4 linked regions of the Xenopus tropicalis genome follow. The main gene of each other region encodes a partner of the protein of the gene in region 2 in a complex. Links are inferred from orthologs where the notes say so. Each region holds a gene or a part of one and is shown on either strand. Other genes may lie near its edges.

Region 1 (4,491 bases), on a different chromosome or scaffold from region 2:
TTTTGTAAGTTTTTGAGTTATTTGCCTTCCTCTTCCTCCTTTTTCTAGCTTTCAAATGGGGGTTACTTGCAGCCAAAAATACTATGGCTCTGTGAGGCTACAACTGTATTGTTACTGTTAATTTTTATTACTTACCGATCTCTTCAGTCGCCCTACTATTTATATTTCAGTCTTTCATTCAAGCCACTGCCTGGTTACTAAGTTATATTGGACCCTAACAACCAGTTACAAACCAGAGAGCTGTTGAACAAAAAGCTAAATTATTTAAAAAACATAAAAATAATTACACATACAGATATCTTGAAATCACCAAGTATTTGTAAGTAACATATATTGGAAATTTGTTTAGAATTACGTTTTTTTAATTATGCAAAAACAAACACAGATTTGTGTGGACATCTTTCTAAAAGCTCTTTTTAACCTTTCTATCATGCCTTGTGACTGTGGATACAGTGACCACTTTTCTATTGGGCACAGAATTCATCAAATTTCAATAAATCTTGTACAAAGCACTTCGGAACCATAATTTGTTTATTCAAATTGAAAAAATGGCATTAATTGTGTCACATGACTCACGAGGGTTCATAATCATATAGGGCTGAATACTTAAAATTCTGCAAATCACCTAACTCTTGTCCTGTATTTGGTGCATCCTACTTTTATCTCTCTTCATTCCTTACAAGTTATGACAAAGCACACTTGTTAATGCAACACATGGGGGCTGATTTATCAAAGTCCGAATTTCGGGCAGCAAAAATTTTGTATTAGATATGAAAATTTCAGATTGCATTGTGGTCGTACAAAAATATCATGGTGCGATCCGACAGTTCTGAAATTTTCGTATCCGAACGATCGTAAAAAGGCGCAAATAAACTTTCTGACTGAACCTTCTGTGCATGTTTTTGGAAACCTCCCATAGGACTCAATGACACTCTGCAGCTCCAACCTGGCCCAAGGAAAGCCTCCCATAGGGCTCAATGGCACTCTGCATCTCCAACCTGGCCCAAGGAAAGTCTCCCATAGGGCTGAATGGCACTCTGCAGCTCCAACCCGGCCCAAGGAAAGTCTCCCATAGGGCTCAATGGCACTCTGCAGCTCCAACCCGGCCCAAGGAAAGCCTCCCATAGGGCTCAATGGCACTCTGCAGCTCCAACCTGGCCCAAGGAAAGTCTCCCATAGGGCTCAATGGCACTCTGCAGCTCCAACCCGGCCCAAGGAAAGTCTCCCATAGGGCTCAATGGCACTCTGCAGCTCCAACCCGGCCCAAGGAAAGCCTCCCATAGGGCTCAATGGCACTCTGCAGCTCCAACCCGGCCCAAGGAAAGCCTCCCATAGGGCTCAATGGCACTCTGCAGCTCCAACCCGGCCCAAGGAAAGCCTCCCATAGGGCTCAATGGCACTCTGCAGCTCCAACCTGGCCCAAGGAAAGTCTCCCATAGGGCTCAATGGCACTCTGCAGCTCCAACCCGGCCCAAGGAAAGTCTCCCATAGGGCTCAGTGGCACTCTGCAGCTCCAACCCGGCCCAAGGAAAGCCTCCCATAGGGCTCAATGGCACTCTGCAGCTCCAACCTGGCCCAAGGAAAGTTACAATACTGAAGCTTTAATGAATCCAAAACTTTCGAACGCTTTGCGACAAATACGATTATGTTGCACAAATTGTCGCAAAGCACGAAAAAGCAGATAATGAAAAAAATCGCAGAAAATAGACACAGTTCTAAAACTTCTTTTAATCGTACATTGATAAATGGACCCCATGGTGTTAAAGAAGAAGGAAAGGCTAAGTCACTTGGGGGTGCCAAAATGTTAGGCACCCCCAAGTGACTTTAATCGCTTACCTTTTACCCCGGGGTAGCTGAGAGCGCTTCCTTTTTCCTTGTTCGTGCGCATGCGTAGTTTAGCAAAATTTTAACAACAAAGTCAGCTTTTCACTCTAATACACAGGCGCCGGTCCAGGGACTTTGACGGCAGAGTGAACACGGAAGAAGGAAGTGCTCAGTGCAGGTACCCCGGGCTGGTGCTGTTTTCTCCTAACAGGGGCACCAGCCCGGGGTAAAAGGTATGCGATTAAAGTCAATGGGGTGCCTAACATTATGGCACCCCCAAGTGACTTAGCCTTTCCTTCTCCTTTAAGGGTACTTTTTGGATGCTAATTATCATGTTTTTACCCCAAAATTCCAAGAAGCATATACCTTTTGTAAATTGTGTTAATGTGTAAAAAAATTTCAGTCAATATTAGCACGCTGCTCTTATGGCTGCACAAACAGATTAGTGGCATTCAATCAAGGGGGATTGCTGAGTTGATTGTATGACTTTATAGCATAATGCTTTATATTATATGCTTTATATTATAATGCTATATATGTAATTTTTTTTTTTTCATATTTCCCTGGTACATCATAAAAGATATTTATACACAGTGAAAAAAGACTAGCAACCAGAGGACTTAATGTCTGTATTATGTGAACATGTATGTACAATCAATTTATATAATTCAAACCTTTTCTTGCAAATGAATGTACAGACCAACCCGCCTCAAAGCAAATAAAATAACACTGCCACTGCATTCAAAACCGGGTTCCACTAAACACAGAAAAACTCATATACATGTAAACAGCAGGAGCAAGTACAGACATGTCACATCATGCAGCTGTCACTTGTGCAGAAATCATTGAAAGCATTTCCACTCACACAGGCAGCGCTTCTGCTCACCAAATGTGAGCTTTCAAATCCTGTGTGAGGCCCTTTCATTTCTTTCACTTACCAACTATGGCTCAAGCCTCAATAGACAGAAAATAATCTCACTTTCTTTTTCCCTCCTCCATTCAAGCAACGTTCCGTCTTCCTCAGTCGGCTACAGCCGGCCCCTCTCTACTTCCTGGAACTTGGTTCTAACTCGGAGAAGCCAGTTCCGCCATCTTTGTGGAGGGAATACCTATCAACCCTACTTCGCAAACAAAGTGAATTTAAACGCAATGATACCTGAGTGAAGTTGGCATTTGGTGCTCAAAGCAGAAAAATAAAGTGTGCTACAGCATAAGCTGTCAGTTGCATGCAAATACAAGATACTTTTATATTTTTACAAGCAAAAAAGTAAATCTGTCAAATGTGAAGAATTATTATCATCATCATCATCAGTTAATTATAATGTGCCAGCAAATAATGCAGCACTTCACAATAAATGTAAACAAATAGAAACAAGGATTATTTGTATTAACATATGGGAAATTATAAAAAAAGAAATAAGGGAAATGGCAATGCTAGACAAAGCCTCTATCAAAAATCTTGGGGCTCCTTACAAGTTATTTGTCTGCAGTGCTGGGCTTAAAGGAGACATATCCTATAAAAATTATGAATGTACCAGTGAATTATACTCCTCCAGATATAGAAGGAATGTGCTTTAAAAAGTTGTTTTTCTGACTGATTTATTGAGAAATTCCACCAAAACCCCACTAGTCCCGCCCATCTGTTCCACTTCCTGCTGGCTGAATTCTCTGAATGTGCAAGGGAGCCGGGGCCCTCAGTACACTGCACTGTAGGATAGGAACCAATCAGCAGCTAGGCTGACCTGATAGGGAACTGAAGTCTGGCTGTGCTTGTGTGACTGCAGGGCTGTGATTGGCTCTCCCCCTCCTACTTTGCTTCTGGCAGGGACCGTTAGGACACACCCACTCTTCATTTCACACTGGATAGAGAAGTGATACGATCTATAGGGAGCTCCAATAAAGGGGCCATTTTTACAGAGAGGATTAATTTTTAGAACAAAGGGAAAACAGCACCGTGTCACGGTCGGCACCCTAAACCAGAACAGATGCCAAGTTCCCTTGTCTCGGCTTCACCAGTATTGTGACCGCCTTTGGCTTCGGGAGGAGCCCTCAGCTACTCAGATGCCACCTGGACTTAACGAGAGAAACAAGGCAGGAGTTCTGGCAAGCAAAGGGGCACGACTGTAGTTAAAGTCAATTAGGCCGAAGATCACGGTACAAAAGGATGAGGCAAGTTCGTAGTCAGGCAGGCTGGGTCGGGGCAGGCAGTAAGAAGGATCGTCAGACAGGCAAGGGTCAAACCGGATAATCAAAACAGCAGGACGAGACGAAATCGGAGTCAAAGTACAAGCCGAGGTCAGAAATGGATTATCAGAATAGTCAGGAGCAAGCCGGGTCAAAAACACAGGAAGGCAACAAGCAGGACACAGGAACGAAATGCACAAGGCTCAGGAAAGCACCAGGATCAAAATCCTATCACGGGCAATGAAAAAGTAAACAGAAGCCCTTTAAATATTCAAACTTCGCGCCATTGCGTTATGACGTCAGCGCGAATGCGCCTATAAACCACTGCGGTGCGCGCGCGGCGCGCACTAGGAAGTAGCCGGCACCAGGGAAGGGCAGCGTGGCGGGCGTCCCCGCCGATGGCAGCGCGGCGGGCGTCCCCGTCGCGCCGGTAAGCCTGCTTTTATTACATTACCCCCCTCTCTAGGAGGGGCCACTGGACCC
Region 2 (3,933 bases):
CTCTAAACAAAGAAAATTGGATGATTATGTATTATATTGGAATTAGCAACATATCATAAAATAATTAGATCAATAGAAAATTACTGTAAACAAACAAAAAGAAACTACTTAATTAATTAAAATTACTTAAATTGCTAACTTGGCACTAAAGTGCTGCCATCTTTCCAGACTTGTGCACTTGGGTACTATAGCAAAATTTTCAAATATTACCGACAAGATGGCAGAATAGAGTTAAGCAAAAATGATTCCTGGGCTTGTACATTTTTTCCAAGAAAAAGAAATCCAGCCAGTTCAATCCAGTGAACAGCGATTTCATTTATTGGGTGGGTGCATAACATCTTGGTACCCCTCCCCCAGGGAATAAGAATATTCTTTAAATCCTATACAGGTATTTTCATCCCACTATATACAGGAGGATGAAACATACGATTTATGGCCTTCAACAATCACTGCAGTAAATAATTAGTAAATATTAATTTGGTCTATTTATTAATTATTATGCATTAACCCAAGTGAGTTTTAGTAAACCAATAAGACATATATTGCTAAATTACATTTAGACTGCAATCTCTAATGAGCAGGGCCCTCTTCACTTCCTGTATCAGGCAATGTTTGTATATTCGATGTGTACACCCCCCTTTCACTGTAAAGCAATGTTTATTATGTATATCTGTGTTAATGATAATAAAAATAATAGTTGCCAGTATCCCTGGCAATTAGACTACAGTCCATTTAATACACAAACATACCAGCTTTTCCCTTTAGTATCCTGTTTTGATAATACTGAAACTCTAGCTGAGGATTAGCTCCTTCCCGCGTTGTCGTTGTTCCAGCACCTCTGTTGCTTGTAACAGCGACTGGTTTTCCTTTTCAGATAATAAGAAAAATCACAGTTATATGGTTTAATAGCAAACTAAGATACATGATTTTTCACAGAACAACCATGAACGTGATCAAAATTACCTTTATGTATATAATAAACATCACAAGCCATTACCAGTGTAAACTGTACTAATGACAACTGGTATACAATGGGTACAAAATGACACTGCATGCAATATATCAAACAATTATTATTTGCAACCACATGCTGCACAGTTACCTTTGAGGTCCGGACGGTTGCGAATAGCCACAGATACAAAGAAGCAGTCCATATCTACGTGTATGATACAGTTCTGGCACTTCGGTAATGTGGAAGGAGGCATATTACCTAATTAAATACAGTAAAATGATCTTAACTCCTGGAATGTATTGTACTTTGCACATTACATCACACAAGAATGTTGCATATTCTAATGGGAGAGAAACTCTATTTAGAAAATTACATGCTACTTTAAATAATAATATCCCCATTGTCTAAAAATCCCTAGTGCTTAGGAATTGTACGCTACCTGAACATACAAAGTAAAATGCTTTACTGGAGAAACAGTAATAGCTTCTTGAACATCAATAATAAATAATTAATAAATGCAGCAAGCACAGAATGCATTTTCTCCTAAATTGAAAAAATGTGGGGTGTACCCATGAAATTCATAACATTTCATTTTGTTTTATTTTTAAGAAGGAATAGAATATTTACAAGGTTCTGTAAAAAATGTATGCATAGACATTATTAGTACCTCAATAAAATTTTGTACATGGTCACAGCATGATATTATGATGCAAATACATTGATGCAGGTCAACACTATATGGTTTTCCCATAGATAACTATACTGGAAAATAAAGGTTTTCTTTTTATAAAGAAATAAGAATTAGAAATTCTGATACCATCAGTAGCTGTGCTTTTTCAGTTTACCTTTACTAGAGAGTGATAAATGGTAATTTTTGGAGCTTTATAGAGAGCCAAAAGGGCTATTAGTTTGTATACTAAAATTTGTGGCATCAAATGAATTTAAAGAGAGTTAAATACTATTGCATATAGTATTGTTGCTGAAAGTTGAATTAAATATTTTATCACACTTCTAATAGTAATTCATCCCACATGCTGAGGGAGTATAAAGATAATTGAAAATAAAATACAGGTGCATTTCGGAAAGGATTTAAACAGACTTTTGGTCATGCATGCAAATATATTTAAAGCTTTACTTGGAACAACATAGAGGAAAAATTACACTAGTACCTGTATACTAGATTTCCCAAAACAGGCTATAACCTGGACACATAGGTAGATCCATAGTTTAGAGCAGGGTTATAAAACTGGAGGCCAGTGGGGGCAGTTAAAGGACACTAAGACATTAAACAGCCCTCAGCCAGCCTCAAAGTCCTAAACTCTGTTTGACATTATTTAAAAAGAATCCAACCTACATATCTGTGATCCACAGGCAAATCATTAAGGTTGGATCATTAGTCCACTTGTAAAAGCTGCACAAAAAGATTGTAGTGAGTAAAAATGACAATGTACAGGTCCCCAAGGTACCTCAACAAATAGAAAAAAAGTATCCACAGACATAGTGCAAAACTATAAGTTCCATGCAGGATGCTGCCGCTTTGCAGAGCGATTTGACAAAATTAGATAACTGGGCAGCAAACTGGAAAATGAGGTTCAATGTTGATAAGTGCAAAGTTATGCACTTTGGTAGAAATAATATAAACGCAAACTATCTACTGAATGGTAGTGTGTTGGGGGTATCCTTAATGGAGAAGGATCTAGGGTTTTTTGTTGATAACAAGTTGTCTAATGCCAGGCAGTGTCATTCTGTGGCTACTAAATAAAGTGCTGTCTTGTATAAAAAAGGGCGTTGACTCAAGGGATGAGAACATAATTTTGCCCCTTTATAGGTCCCTGGTAAGGCCTCACCTTGAGTATGCAGTGCAGTTTTGGGCTCCAGTCCTTAAGAAGGATATTAATGAGCTGGAGAAAGTGCAGAGACGTGCAACTAAACTGGTTAAGGGGATGGAAGATTTAAACTATGAGGTGAGACTGTCGAGGTTGGGGTTGTTTTCTCTGGAAAAGAGGCGCTTGCGAGGGGACATGATTACTCTGTACAAGTACATTAGAGGGGATTATAGGCAGATGGGGGATGTTCTTTTTTCCCATAAAAACAATCAATGCACCAGAGGTCACCCCTTTAGATTAGAGGAAAGGAGCTTCCATTTGAAGCAGCGTAGGTGGTTTTTCACGGTGAGGGCAGTGAGGTTATGGAATGCCCTTCCTAGTGATGTGGTAATGGCAGATTCTGTTAATGCCTTTAAGAGGGGCCTGGATGAGTTCTTGATCAATCAGAATATCCAAGGCTATTGTGATACTAATATCTACAGTTAGTACTAGTGGTTGTATTTATAGTTTATGTATGTGAGTGTATAGAATGGTAGGTGTGGGTTAGGTGTGCTGGGTTTACTTGGATGGGTTGAACTTGATGGACACTGGTCTTTTTTCAACCCTATGTAACTATGTAACTATAGTCACGCCCCCTGATCCACCCCAATCATGACTATTACATGAAAACCACTTCCATGATCTGACAAAACCCTGCCTATTCTCCCACAAGCTCTTCATGGTCTGCAAATTAAAATGTAATGTCTAATGGGGCCCCTGATTGCTGTACCCCATGTACCCCTTTATGGCAGCCCTGAAAATGTAAATAGTGAAACAATACTTTATAACATACATACCAGGCTTTAATTTTTTTAACCTCTCCCGACCTGGGAAGCCTTTGTTACTTTGAGTCTGTAGACCGCGCACAAACTCAGTGAACTCACACTTCCACGTCGATATATGATGAAGTCTGGAGTGAGAATAAAAATCTGAAATAAAATTGGGGTCAGCTGTTTTAGGCAGCTGTAGAGAGGCCAGCTTGGCAGGGGAGAGTGCAGTAGTGCTTGTGCTTGAAGGCCCCGGAAGCGAGTGGTGAGCACCATTAATTTTCGAATTTGTGTGCAAACATGAGGATGAGGGTAAGGATGAAGTCCTATGAGGATTGCAGAAAACATC
Region 3 (4,568 bases), on a different chromosome or scaffold from region 2:
TACCTGTACTTGATCCCAACTAAGATATAATTACCCCTTATTGGGGCAGAACAGCCCTATTGGGTTTATTTAATGGTTAAATGATTCCCTTTTCTCTGTAATAATAAAACAGTACCTGTACTTGAGGTATGGAGATTTACAGAATGACCCCTTATCCGGAAAACTCCAGGTCCCGAGCATTCTGGATAATGGGTCTTATACTTGTACTTTGTATTTCATTTGTGTTTTGATCTGTATATGTCACACTTATGTTATTTATTAGCCTAAAATTAAGGGTCTTTACCTGAAATGCGGCAATAATGTGGAATAATGTGCAGCAGTCACACAGCTAGAGAGCGACAGGGTGGGTGTCAGGGTGAGTGACAGCAAAGAGCCCTGTCCCACAGTTACTTACTTTGTCAGGTCAGCCTTCCCATGAGCCTCTCTGACGCGGGCCAGCTGCAGATCAGCGCACAGCTTCTTTGCGTCGTCACCAAACATGTTCCTCGTCACGCCAAAGGCCCGGGCTTCATAGCTCACAGCGATAATCCTGAGCACAGACAGGGAGACACGGAACTCTCAGGCCTTCACATAAACAACATGGAGGTGCTGGTAACCCCGAGGTCCCCCCCTGAGAATAATATGTGCCAAGTAATTGCTATAATATTCTCATAACACGGATATATGTGCAAGGAGGGTCCGAATGCTGATCTGTTTAGAAGCAATGAAAGTTCTACCCAAGCAGCTTCTATTGGCCTAAGAAAGTAAGCAGAACAAGAGTCCCCTCTTACTGGCACTGGGGAAATACAGCTCCAATATCTGCCCTTTAATATTATAGGAGTGTGCCTTTAAAGGGGAGGTTCACCTTCTAGTACATTATAGAATGCCCTATTCCGTGCAACTTTGCAATTGGTTTTCATCATTTCTTATAGTTTTTTTTTTTTTAATTATTTGCCTTTATTTTCTGCCTTATTCCAGTTTTCAAATGGGGTCACTGACCCCGGCAGCCAAACCCTATTGCTCTGCGAGGCTCCAGTTTTATTGTTACTTTTTATTACTTATATTTCTATGCAGGCCCTCTACTATTCATATTTCCATCTCTTGTTTAAACCACTGCCTGGTTGCTAGGGTAAATAGGACCCTCACAAGCAGGAGATCCAGTGGTACCAGCACTCAGTGCCCCTTGTTTCTAGGCAAAAGCACCAGGAACTCACCCGCCTCCTTTCCAGGTTTTGTACTGCACCACTGCCACTGGCTTGTTCTTCAGTGCCGGATTCATGCGCTGCTCAACTTGTACATAGAAACAATCCATATCCACCAGCGCCACCACTCGCTCCTGCCCCGACTCCATTGCAGCTCAGTGCAGTCTGATACTGGAAAGAGCAGTAAGGTTCTGGGAGTTATTCAATAAACACACACTGAACTAGCAGGGGGGGCAGAGAGAGCGTGGGGGAACTGGGGGCAGAAAGAGCGGGGGAACTGGGGGGAGAGAGAGTGGGCATTGTGCAGGGAATGGAAAGCAAGGGAATAAAGAGCATAGGATAGAGAGCAGGGAACAGGGAGTAGAAAGCATAGGATAGAGAGCAGGGAACAGGGAGTAGATAGCAGGGGTTAGAGAGCAGGGAACAGGGAGTAGATAGCAGGGGTTAGAGAGCAGGGAACAGGGAGCAGAAAGCAGGGGTTAGAGAGCAGGGAACAGGGAATAGAAAGCAGGGGTTAGAGAGCAGGGAACAGGGAGTAGAAAGCAGGGGTTAGAGAGCAGGGAACAGGGAGTAGAAAGCACAGAATAGGGAGGAGGGAAGTGGGAGGAGAAAGTAGGGGGTAGGGGTTAGAGAGCAGGGGACAGGCAGTAAAAAGTAGGGGGTAGGAGTTAGAGAGCAGGGGGTAGGGGTTAGAGAGCAGGGGGTAGGGGTTAGAGAGCAGGGGACAGGGAGTAGGAAGTAGGGGTTAGAGAGCAGGGGTTAGAGAGCAGGGGGTAGGGGTTAGAGAGCAGGGGACAGGGAGTAGGAAGTAGGGGGTAGGGGTTAGAGAGCAGGGGACAGGGAGTAGGAAGTAGGGGGTAGGGGTTAGAGAGCAGGGGGTAGGGGTTAGAGAGCAGGGGACAGGGAGTAGGAAATAGGGGGTAGGGGTTAGAGAGCAGGGGGTAGGGGTTAGAGAGCAGGGGACAGGGAGTAGGAAGTAGGGGGTAGGGGTTAGAGAGCAGGGGGTAGGGGTTAGAGAGCAGGGGACAGGGAGTAGGAAATAGGGGGTAGGGGTTAGAGAGCAGGGGGTAGGGGTTAGAGAGCAGGGGACAGGGAGTAGGAAGTAGGGGGTAGGGGTTAGAGAGCAGGGGGTAGGGGTTAGAGAGCAGGGGACAGGGAGTAGGAAATAGGGGGTAGGGGTTAGAGAGCAGGGGGTAGGGGTTAGAGAGCAGGGGGTAGGGGTTAGAGAGCAGGGGACAGGGAGTAGGAAGTAGGGGGTAGGGGTTAGAGAGCAGGGGACAGGGGTTAGAGAGCAGGGGGTAGGGGTTAGAGAGCAGGGGACAGGGAGTAGAAAGCAGGGGACAGGGAGTAGAAAGCAGGGGACAGGGAGTAGAAAGCAGGGGACAGGGAGTAGGAAGTAGGGGACAGGGAGTAGAAAGCAGGGGGTAGGGGTTAGAGAGCAGGGGACAGGGAGTAGGAAGTAGGGGGTAGGGGTTAGAGAGCAGGGGACAGGGGTTAGAGAGCAGGGGTAGGGGTTAGAGAGCAGGGGACAGGGAGTAGAAAGCAGGGGGTAGGGGTTAGAGAGCAGGGGACAGGGAGTAGGAAGTAGGGGGTAGGGGTTAGAGAGCAGGGGACAGGGAGTAGGAAGTAGGGGGTAGGGGTTAGAGAGCAGGGGGTAGGGGTTAGAGAGCAGGGGTTAGAGAGCAGGGGACAGGGAGTAGGAAGCACAAAACAGAGAATAGGGAACAGGAAGACATATAAGGTATCAGATCTGACTGACTAAACTCACACACTTCAAACCTCTCCCAGACCGTCGCAGTTGGTGTCTGCACTATGAAGGCATTTGACCCCAGCAGGTCTCCGTACTCCCTCACAACTCGGACTCCCGCTAAAGCGTGACAGGATCATAACAGCCTGTGCGCATGCGCAAACACAGAATCGCCCGACTGCGCATGCGCACCGCTCCCATAGCGGCTCTATGGTACCAAATGCGCATGCGCAATGATGGGAGAGTTGCTGGGGGTGCTCTCAGTGAGTGGCACAGTAATAGCACCGGGGCAATGGCTTCCCAACTGCATGTCCTGTGCGGCCGCCTCGTACGGGCCCTCACTGTTATCATGGATCCCAAGTCCAGTCAGGAGGGGCGGCAGGAAGCGCACAAGGTACCGGGGCTGGCAGAGCAACTGCCTGGGGCAGGGGGTAAATATACCGGGGCAGGGGGTAAATATACCGAGGCAGGGGGTAAATATACCGGGGCAGGGGGTAAATATACTGGGGCAGGGGGTAAATATACTGAGGCAGGGGGTAAATATACTGGGGCAGGGGGTAAATATACTGGGGCAGGGGGTAAATATACTGAGGCAGGGGGTAAATATACTGATGCAGGGGGTAAATATACTGGGGCAGGGGGTAAATATACTGAGGCAGGGGTAAATATACTGATGCAGGGGGTAAATATACTGGGGCAGGGGGTAAATATACTGATGCAGGGGGTAAATATACTGAGGCAGGGGGTAAATATACTGATGCAGGGGGTAAATATACTGAGGCAGGGGGTAAATATACTGATGCAGGGGGTAAATATACTGGGGCAGGGGGTAAATATACTGATGCAGGGGGTAATATACTGAGGCAGGGGGTAAATATACTGAGGCAGGGGGTAAATATACTGGGGCAGGGGGTAAATATACCGAGGCAGGGGGTAAATATACCGAGGCAGGGGGTAAATATACCGAGGCAGGGGGGTAAATATACTGGGGCAGGGGTAAATATACTGGGGCAGGGGTACATATACTGAGGCAGGGGGTAAATAAACCGAGGCAGGGGGTAAATATACTGAGGCAGGGGGTAAATAAACTGAGGCAGGGGGTAAATATACTGAGGCAGGGGGTAAATATACTGGGGCAGGGGGTAAATATACTGGGGCAGGGGGTAAATATACTGAGGCAGGGGGTAAATATACCGAGGCAGGGGGTAAATATACCGGGCAGGGGTAAATATACCGAGGGCAGGGGGTAAATATACCGGGGCAGGGGGTAAATATACCGGGCAGGGGTAATATACCGAGGCAGGGGGTAAATATACCGAGGCAGGGGGTAAATAACCGAGGCAGGGGGTAAATAAACCGAGGCAGGGGGTAAATAAACCGAGGCAGGGGGTAAATATAACCGAGGCAGGGGGTAATATACCGAGGCAGGGGGTAAATATACCGAGGCAGGGGGTAATTACCGAGGCAGGGGGTAAATATACCGGGGCAGGGGGTAAATATACCGGGGCAGGGGGTAAATATACCGAGGCAGGGGGGTAAATATACCGAGGCAGGGGGTAAATATACCGAGGCAGGGGGTAAATATACCGAGGCAGGGGGTAAATATACCGAGGCAGGGGGTAAATATACCGAGGCAGGGG
Region 4 (4,677 bases), about 62 Mb from region 2:
GCTGCTGGGGGTGAGGGGGGGGGGATATCACTCCAACTTGCAGCGCAGCAGTAAAGTGTGCCTGAGTCTGAGCTTTCAGCCAGCGCTACACATTAGAACTGCTTTCAGCTAACCTATTGTTTCTCCTACTCCCATGTAACTGGAGGAGTCCCAAGCCGGACTTGGATTTCTTACTATTGAGTGCTATTCTGATACCTACTGGGAGCTGCTATCTTGCTCCCTTCCCATTGTTCTGCTGATCGGCTGCTGGGGGTGAGGGGGGGGGGATATCACTCCAACTTGCAGCGCAGCAGTAAAGTGTGAGTGAAGTTTATCAGAGCACAGGTCACATGGCTGTGGCACCCTGGGAAATGAAGAATATGGCTAGCCCCATGGGACATTTCAAAATGAAATATAAAAAAATATGTATGCATTTTTGTAAATGGGGGGATATTCGCAGTGAGGCCCCAATGGGAAGCAAGGGGGGGGGGGCAGTACTCACTGTTTCGCCAGGTTAACATGGACGCCCAGCGTGTGGCTCAGCCATTTGTACGTCACCTGTAACGCAAGCAGAGAGAATGGCGTCAGTCGGGGCAAGTCAGTATGATACATAGCGATACAGATGGGCGGGGCTAGAGGGATAATGAGGCTGAAATACCGGCAGCCCATTGGCTCAGTAACACAACAGGGACTGCCTGGGTCTCACTGCATTTGTACTGACCCAACCCCTGAACCAGAGGTGACCAAAACTGGCCAAAAACCAGATTGGGGCCCTGTTCCAAATGCAACATTATAAGGGTCATGCAAGGAATTATGGGAAGACCCCATCGTTCCCATCTGGGTGGGGGGGGGGATGACCCCAGGGTCCCCATCTGGGTAGGGGGGGGATGACCCCAGGGTCCCCATCTGGGTAAGGGGGGGATGACCCCAGGGTCCCCATCTGGGTAAGGGGGGGATGACCCCAGGGTCCCCATCTGGGTAAGGGGGTGACCCCAGGGTGCCCATCTGGGTAGGGGGGGGGTGACCCCAGGGTGCCCATCTGGGTAGGGGGGGTGACCCCAGGGTGCCCATCTGGGTAGGGGGGGTGACCCCAGGGTGCCCATCTGGGTAGGGGGGGGGTGACCCCAGGGTGCCCATCTGGGTGGGGGGGGGGATGACCCCAGGGTGCCCATCTGGGTGGGGGGGGGGGATGACCCCAGGGTGCCCATCTGGGTGGGGGGGGGGGGGATGACCCCAGGGTGCCTATCTGGGTGGGGGGGGGATGACCCCAGGGTGCCTATCTGGGTGGGGGGGGGGGGATGACCCCAGGGTGCCTATCTGGGTGGGGGGGGGGGGATGACCCCAGGGTGCCTATCTGGGTGGGGGGGGATGACCCCAGGGTGCCATCTGGGTAGGGGGGGGGTGACCCCAGGGTCCCCATCTGGGTAAGGGGGGGATGACCCCAGGGTCCCCATCTGGGTAGGGGGGGATGACCCCAGGGTCCCCATCTGGGTAGGGGGGGATGACCCCAGGGTCCCCATCTGGGTAAGGGGGGGATGACCCCAGGGTGCCCATCTGGGTAAGGGGGGGGATGACCCCAGGGTCCCCATCTGGGTAAGGGGGGGATGACCCCAGGGTCCCCATCTGGGTAGGGGGGGGGTGACCCCAGGGTGCCCATCTGGGTAAGGGGGGGGATGACCCCAGGGTCCCCATCTGGGTAGGGGGGGATGACCCCAGGGTCCCCATCTGGGTAGGGGGGGGGTGACCCCAGGGTCCCCATCTGGGTAGGGGGGGGGGTGACCCCAGGGTCCCCATCTGGGTAAGGGGGGGATGACCCCAGGGTGCCCATCTGGGTAGGGGATGACCCCAGGGTGCCTATATGGGTGGTGGGGGGGGGGGATGACCCCTGGGTGCCTATCTGGGTGGGGGGGGATGACCCCAGGGTGCCTATCTGGGTGGGGGGGGGATGACCCCAGGGTGCCTATCTGGGTGGGGGGGGGATGACCCCAGGGTGCCTATCTGGGTAGGGGGGGGTGACCCCAGGGTCCCCATCTGGGTAGGGGGGGGGGATGACCCCAGGGTGCCCATCTGGGTAGGGGGGGGATGACCCCAGGGTGCCTATCTGGGTAGGGGTGACCCCAGGGTCCCCATCTGGGTAGGGGGGGGGGGATGACCCCAGGGTGCCCATCTGGGTAGGGGGGGGGGATGACCCAGGGTGCCTATCTGGGTAGGGGGGGGGTGACCCCAGGGTGCCCATCTGGGTAGGGGGGGATGACCCCAGGGTGCCCATCTGGGTAGGGGGGGATGACCCCAGGGTGCCTATCTGGGTAGGGGGGGGTGACCCCAGGGTGCCCATCTGGGTAGGGGGGGTGACCCCAGGGTGCCCATCTGGGTAGGGGGGGGATGACCCCAGGGTGCCCATCTGGGTAGGGGGGCCCGGGGGGGGGGGGATGACCCCAGGGTGCCCATCTGGGTAGGGGGGGGGATGACCCCAGGGTGCCCATCTGGGTGGGGTGGGGGGGGGGATGACCCCAGGGTGCACATCTGGGTGGGTGGGGGGGGGATGACCCCAGGGTGCACATCTGGGTGGGTGGGGGGGGGATGACCCCAGGGTGCACATCTGGGTGGGTGGGGGGGGGATGACCCCAGGGTGCACATCTGGGTGGGTGGGGGGGGATGACCCCAGGGTGCCCATCTGGGTAAGGGGGAATAAACCACCAAATTGCCCATGCCAGGGAGAAGCGGCCCGGGTATTATTATAAGAAGGGACGGCAGGTTCCATTCAGAAGAGCCGGAGAGCCCCAGTTGCTCGGAACTCACGATCTTATTCTGATCAGCCACCAGCTCGTCGATATTCTCCAGGTACAGTTCGTCCATAGCTCCCGCCCGGGTCCGGCCCCAGGGAACCCGCAGCTACTCTCTATACTTGGCGCCTGACAACCGAGGCCAGCGGGAGCGGGGAGCGCAGGCGCAAAAGCACCAACATCATTGGCGGAGAGAAGACGCGGCTAAAGACGCTGCCCAATGAGAAGCGAGCTGCGCACACGTGGAACAGAAATAAACACGCCCCTTCCCTGTGCCAGTACTAGAGCAAGGCACGCCGGGAAGGTTAACTCTATATGTGCTGGAGGCAGGACCTCTGCAGGCTCTCTCTATAGGGCAGGCAGACTTTACCCTTACAGGCAGATACAAGGGGGAATCTGTAGGAAATGGAGTCACAGCTTGAACAGGCAAACCTGGGGTTTAAAGGGACCCTGCCCTCATATTTATGGGGCTGTTTGTCTCTAAATGACACTGTCACACAGAAACAATTCCCTCTGCCATTTAACCTTCTATTCTTGTACCAACAAATGTATTTGTAGCTGTAATATTGGTGTGTAGGCGCCATCTCAGTGCCTTGTGCCTGAGTCTGAGCTTTCAGCCAGCGCTACACATTAGAACTGCTTTCAGCTAACCTATTGTTTCTCCTACTCCCATGTAACTGGAGGAGTCCCAAGCCGGACTTGGATTTCTTACTATTGAGTGCTATTCTGATACCTACTGGGAGCTGCTATCTTGCTCCCTTCCCATTGTTCTGCTGATTGGCTGCTGGGGGTGAGGGGGGGGGATATCACTCCAACTTGCAGCGCAGCAGTAAAGTGTGCCTGAGTCTGAGCTTTCAGCCAGCGCTACTCATTAGAACTGCTTTCAGCTAACCTATTGTTTCTCCTACTCCCATGTAACTGGAGGAGTCCCAAGCCGGACTTGGATTTCTTACTATTGAGTGCTATTCTGATACCTACTGGGAGCTGCTATCTTGCTCCCTTCCCATTGTTCTGCTGATTGGCTGCTGGGGGTGAGGGGGGGGATATCACTCCAACTTGCAGCGCAGCAGTAAAGTGTGCCTGAGTCTGAGCTTTCAGCCAGCGCTACTCATTAGAACTGCTTTCAGCTAACCTATTGTTTCTCCTACTCCCATGTAACTGGAGGAGTCCCAAGCCGGACTTGGATTTCTTACTATTGAGTGCTATTCTGATACCTACTGGGAGCTGCTATCTTGCTCCCTTCCCATTGTTCTGCTGATCGGCTGCTGGGGGTGATGTTTTCCCATGTCAGTGTTCCTTTAATGTATGTGAACTGGAACAATTTTATCCCTATAGCCTACAGCAGCACTTGGTATCCATAGTACAGGTATGGGACCCGTTATCCAGAATGCTCGGGACCTGGGATTTTCCGGATAAGGGGTATTTCTATAATAGGATTGTTCTGCCCCCAATAAGGGGTAATTATATCTTAGTTGGGATCAAGTACAGGTACTGTTTTATTATAACAGAGAAAAGGGAATCATTTAACCATTAAATAAACCCAATAGGGCTGTTCTGCCCCCAATAAGGGGTAATTATATCTTAGTTGGGATCAAGTACAGGTACTGTTTTATTATTACAGAGAAAAGGGAATCATTTAACCATTAAATAAACCCAATAGGGCTGTTCTGCCCCAATAAGGGGTAATTATATCTTAGTTGGGATCAAGTACAGGTACTGTTTTATTATTACAGAGAAAAGGGAATCATTTAACCATTAAATAAACCCAATAGGGCTGTTCTGCCCCAATAAGGGGTAATTATATCTTAGTTGGGATCAAGTACAGGTACTGTTTTATTATTACAGAGAAAAGGGAATCATTTAACCATTAAATAAACCCAATAGGGCTGTTCTGCCCCAATAAGGGGTAATTATA

The links.
Region 1: the proteins of rev1 (region 2) and polk are in contact, whole or in part, in an NMR structure (PDB 2LSI), measured with the Homo sapiens proteins. The link is inferred for Xenopus tropicalis from reciprocal best matches to the Homo sapiens genes REV1 and POLK. Residues at the interface, in NP_057400.1 of Homo sapiens: Asn1158, Leu1159, Ala1160, Gly1161, Ala1162, Asp1167, Leu1171, Leu1172, Glu1174, Trp1175, Thr1178, Ile1179, Met1183, Glu1185, Asp1186, Gln1189, Val1190; in NP_001374042.1 of Homo sapiens: Lys564, Lys565, Ser566, Phe567, Phe568, Asp569, Lys571, Arg572, Arg575.
Region 3: the proteins of rev1 (region 2) and polh are in contact, whole or in part, in an NMR structure (PDB 2LSK), measured with the Homo sapiens proteins. The link is inferred for Xenopus tropicalis from reciprocal best matches to the Homo sapiens genes REV1 and POLH. Residues at the interface, in NP_057400.1 of Homo sapiens: Asn1158, Leu1159, Ala1160, Gly1161, Leu1171, Leu1172, Trp1175, Ile1179, Asp1181, Pro1182, Met1183, Glu1185, Asp1186, Gln1189, Val1190; in NP_006493.1 of Homo sapiens: Thr528, Glu529, Pro530, Phe531, Phe532, Lys533, Lys535, Ser536, Leu539.
Region 4: the proteins of rev1 (region 2) and pold3 are in contact, whole or in part, in an NMR structure (PDB 2N1G), measured with the Homo sapiens proteins. The link is inferred for Xenopus tropicalis from reciprocal best matches to the Homo sapiens genes REV1 and POLD3. Residues at the interface, in NP_057400.1 of Homo sapiens: Asn1158, Leu1159, Ala1160, Gly1161, Leu1171, Leu1172, Glu1174, Trp1175, Ile1179, Met1183, Glu1184, Glu1185, Asp1186, Gln1189, Val1190; in NP_006582.1 of Homo sapiens: Gly232, Asn233, Met234, Met235, Ser236, Asn237, Phe238, Phe239, Gly240, Ala242, Ala243, Met244.

The regions. Positions count from the first base shown.
Region 1 is NC_030677.2:184,304,191-184,308,681, reverse strand, and holds the start of polk (DNA polymerase kappa), read right to left. Parts: upstream 2,913-4,491; 5' UTR 2,763-2,912; intron 1-2,762. UniProt on the Homo sapiens protein: DNA polymerase specifically involved in DNA repair. Plays an important role in translesion synthesis, where the normal high-fidelity DNA polymerases cannot proceed and DNA synthesis stalls.
Region 2 is NC_030678.2:112,573,169-112,577,101, reverse strand, and holds part of rev1 (DNA repair protein REV1), read right to left. Parts: coding exon 3,615-3,933; intron 1,211-3,614; coding exon 1,103-1,210; intron 867-1,102; coding exon 750-866; intron 3-749; coding exon 1-2. UniProt on the Homo sapiens protein: Deoxycytidyl transferase involved in DNA repair. Transfers a dCMP residue from dCTP to the 3'-end of a DNA primer in a template-dependent reaction.
Region 3 is NC_030681.2:2,465,318-2,469,885, forward strand, and holds the start of polh (DNA polymerase eta), read right to left. Parts: upstream 3,060-4,568; 5' UTR 2,950-3,059; intron 1,353-2,949; 5' UTR 1,331-1,352; coding exon 1,194-1,330; intron 530-1,193; coding exon 395-529; intron 1-394. Other genes in the region: exportin-5, read left to right, coding at 3,083-3,322. UniProt on the Homo sapiens protein: DNA polymerase specifically involved in the DNA repair by translesion synthesis (TLS). Due to low processivity on both damaged and normal DNA, cooperates with the heterotetrameric (REV3L, REV7, POLD2 and POLD3) POLZ complex for complete bypass of DNA lesions.
Region 4 is NC_030678.2:174,997,063-175,001,739, reverse strand, and holds the start of pold3 (DNA polymerase delta subunit 3), read right to left. Parts: upstream 2,899-4,677; 5' UTR 2,836-2,898; coding exon 2,779-2,835; intron 538-2,778; coding exon 482-537; intron 1-481. UniProt on the Homo sapiens protein: Accessory component of both the DNA polymerase delta complex and the DNA polymerase zeta complex.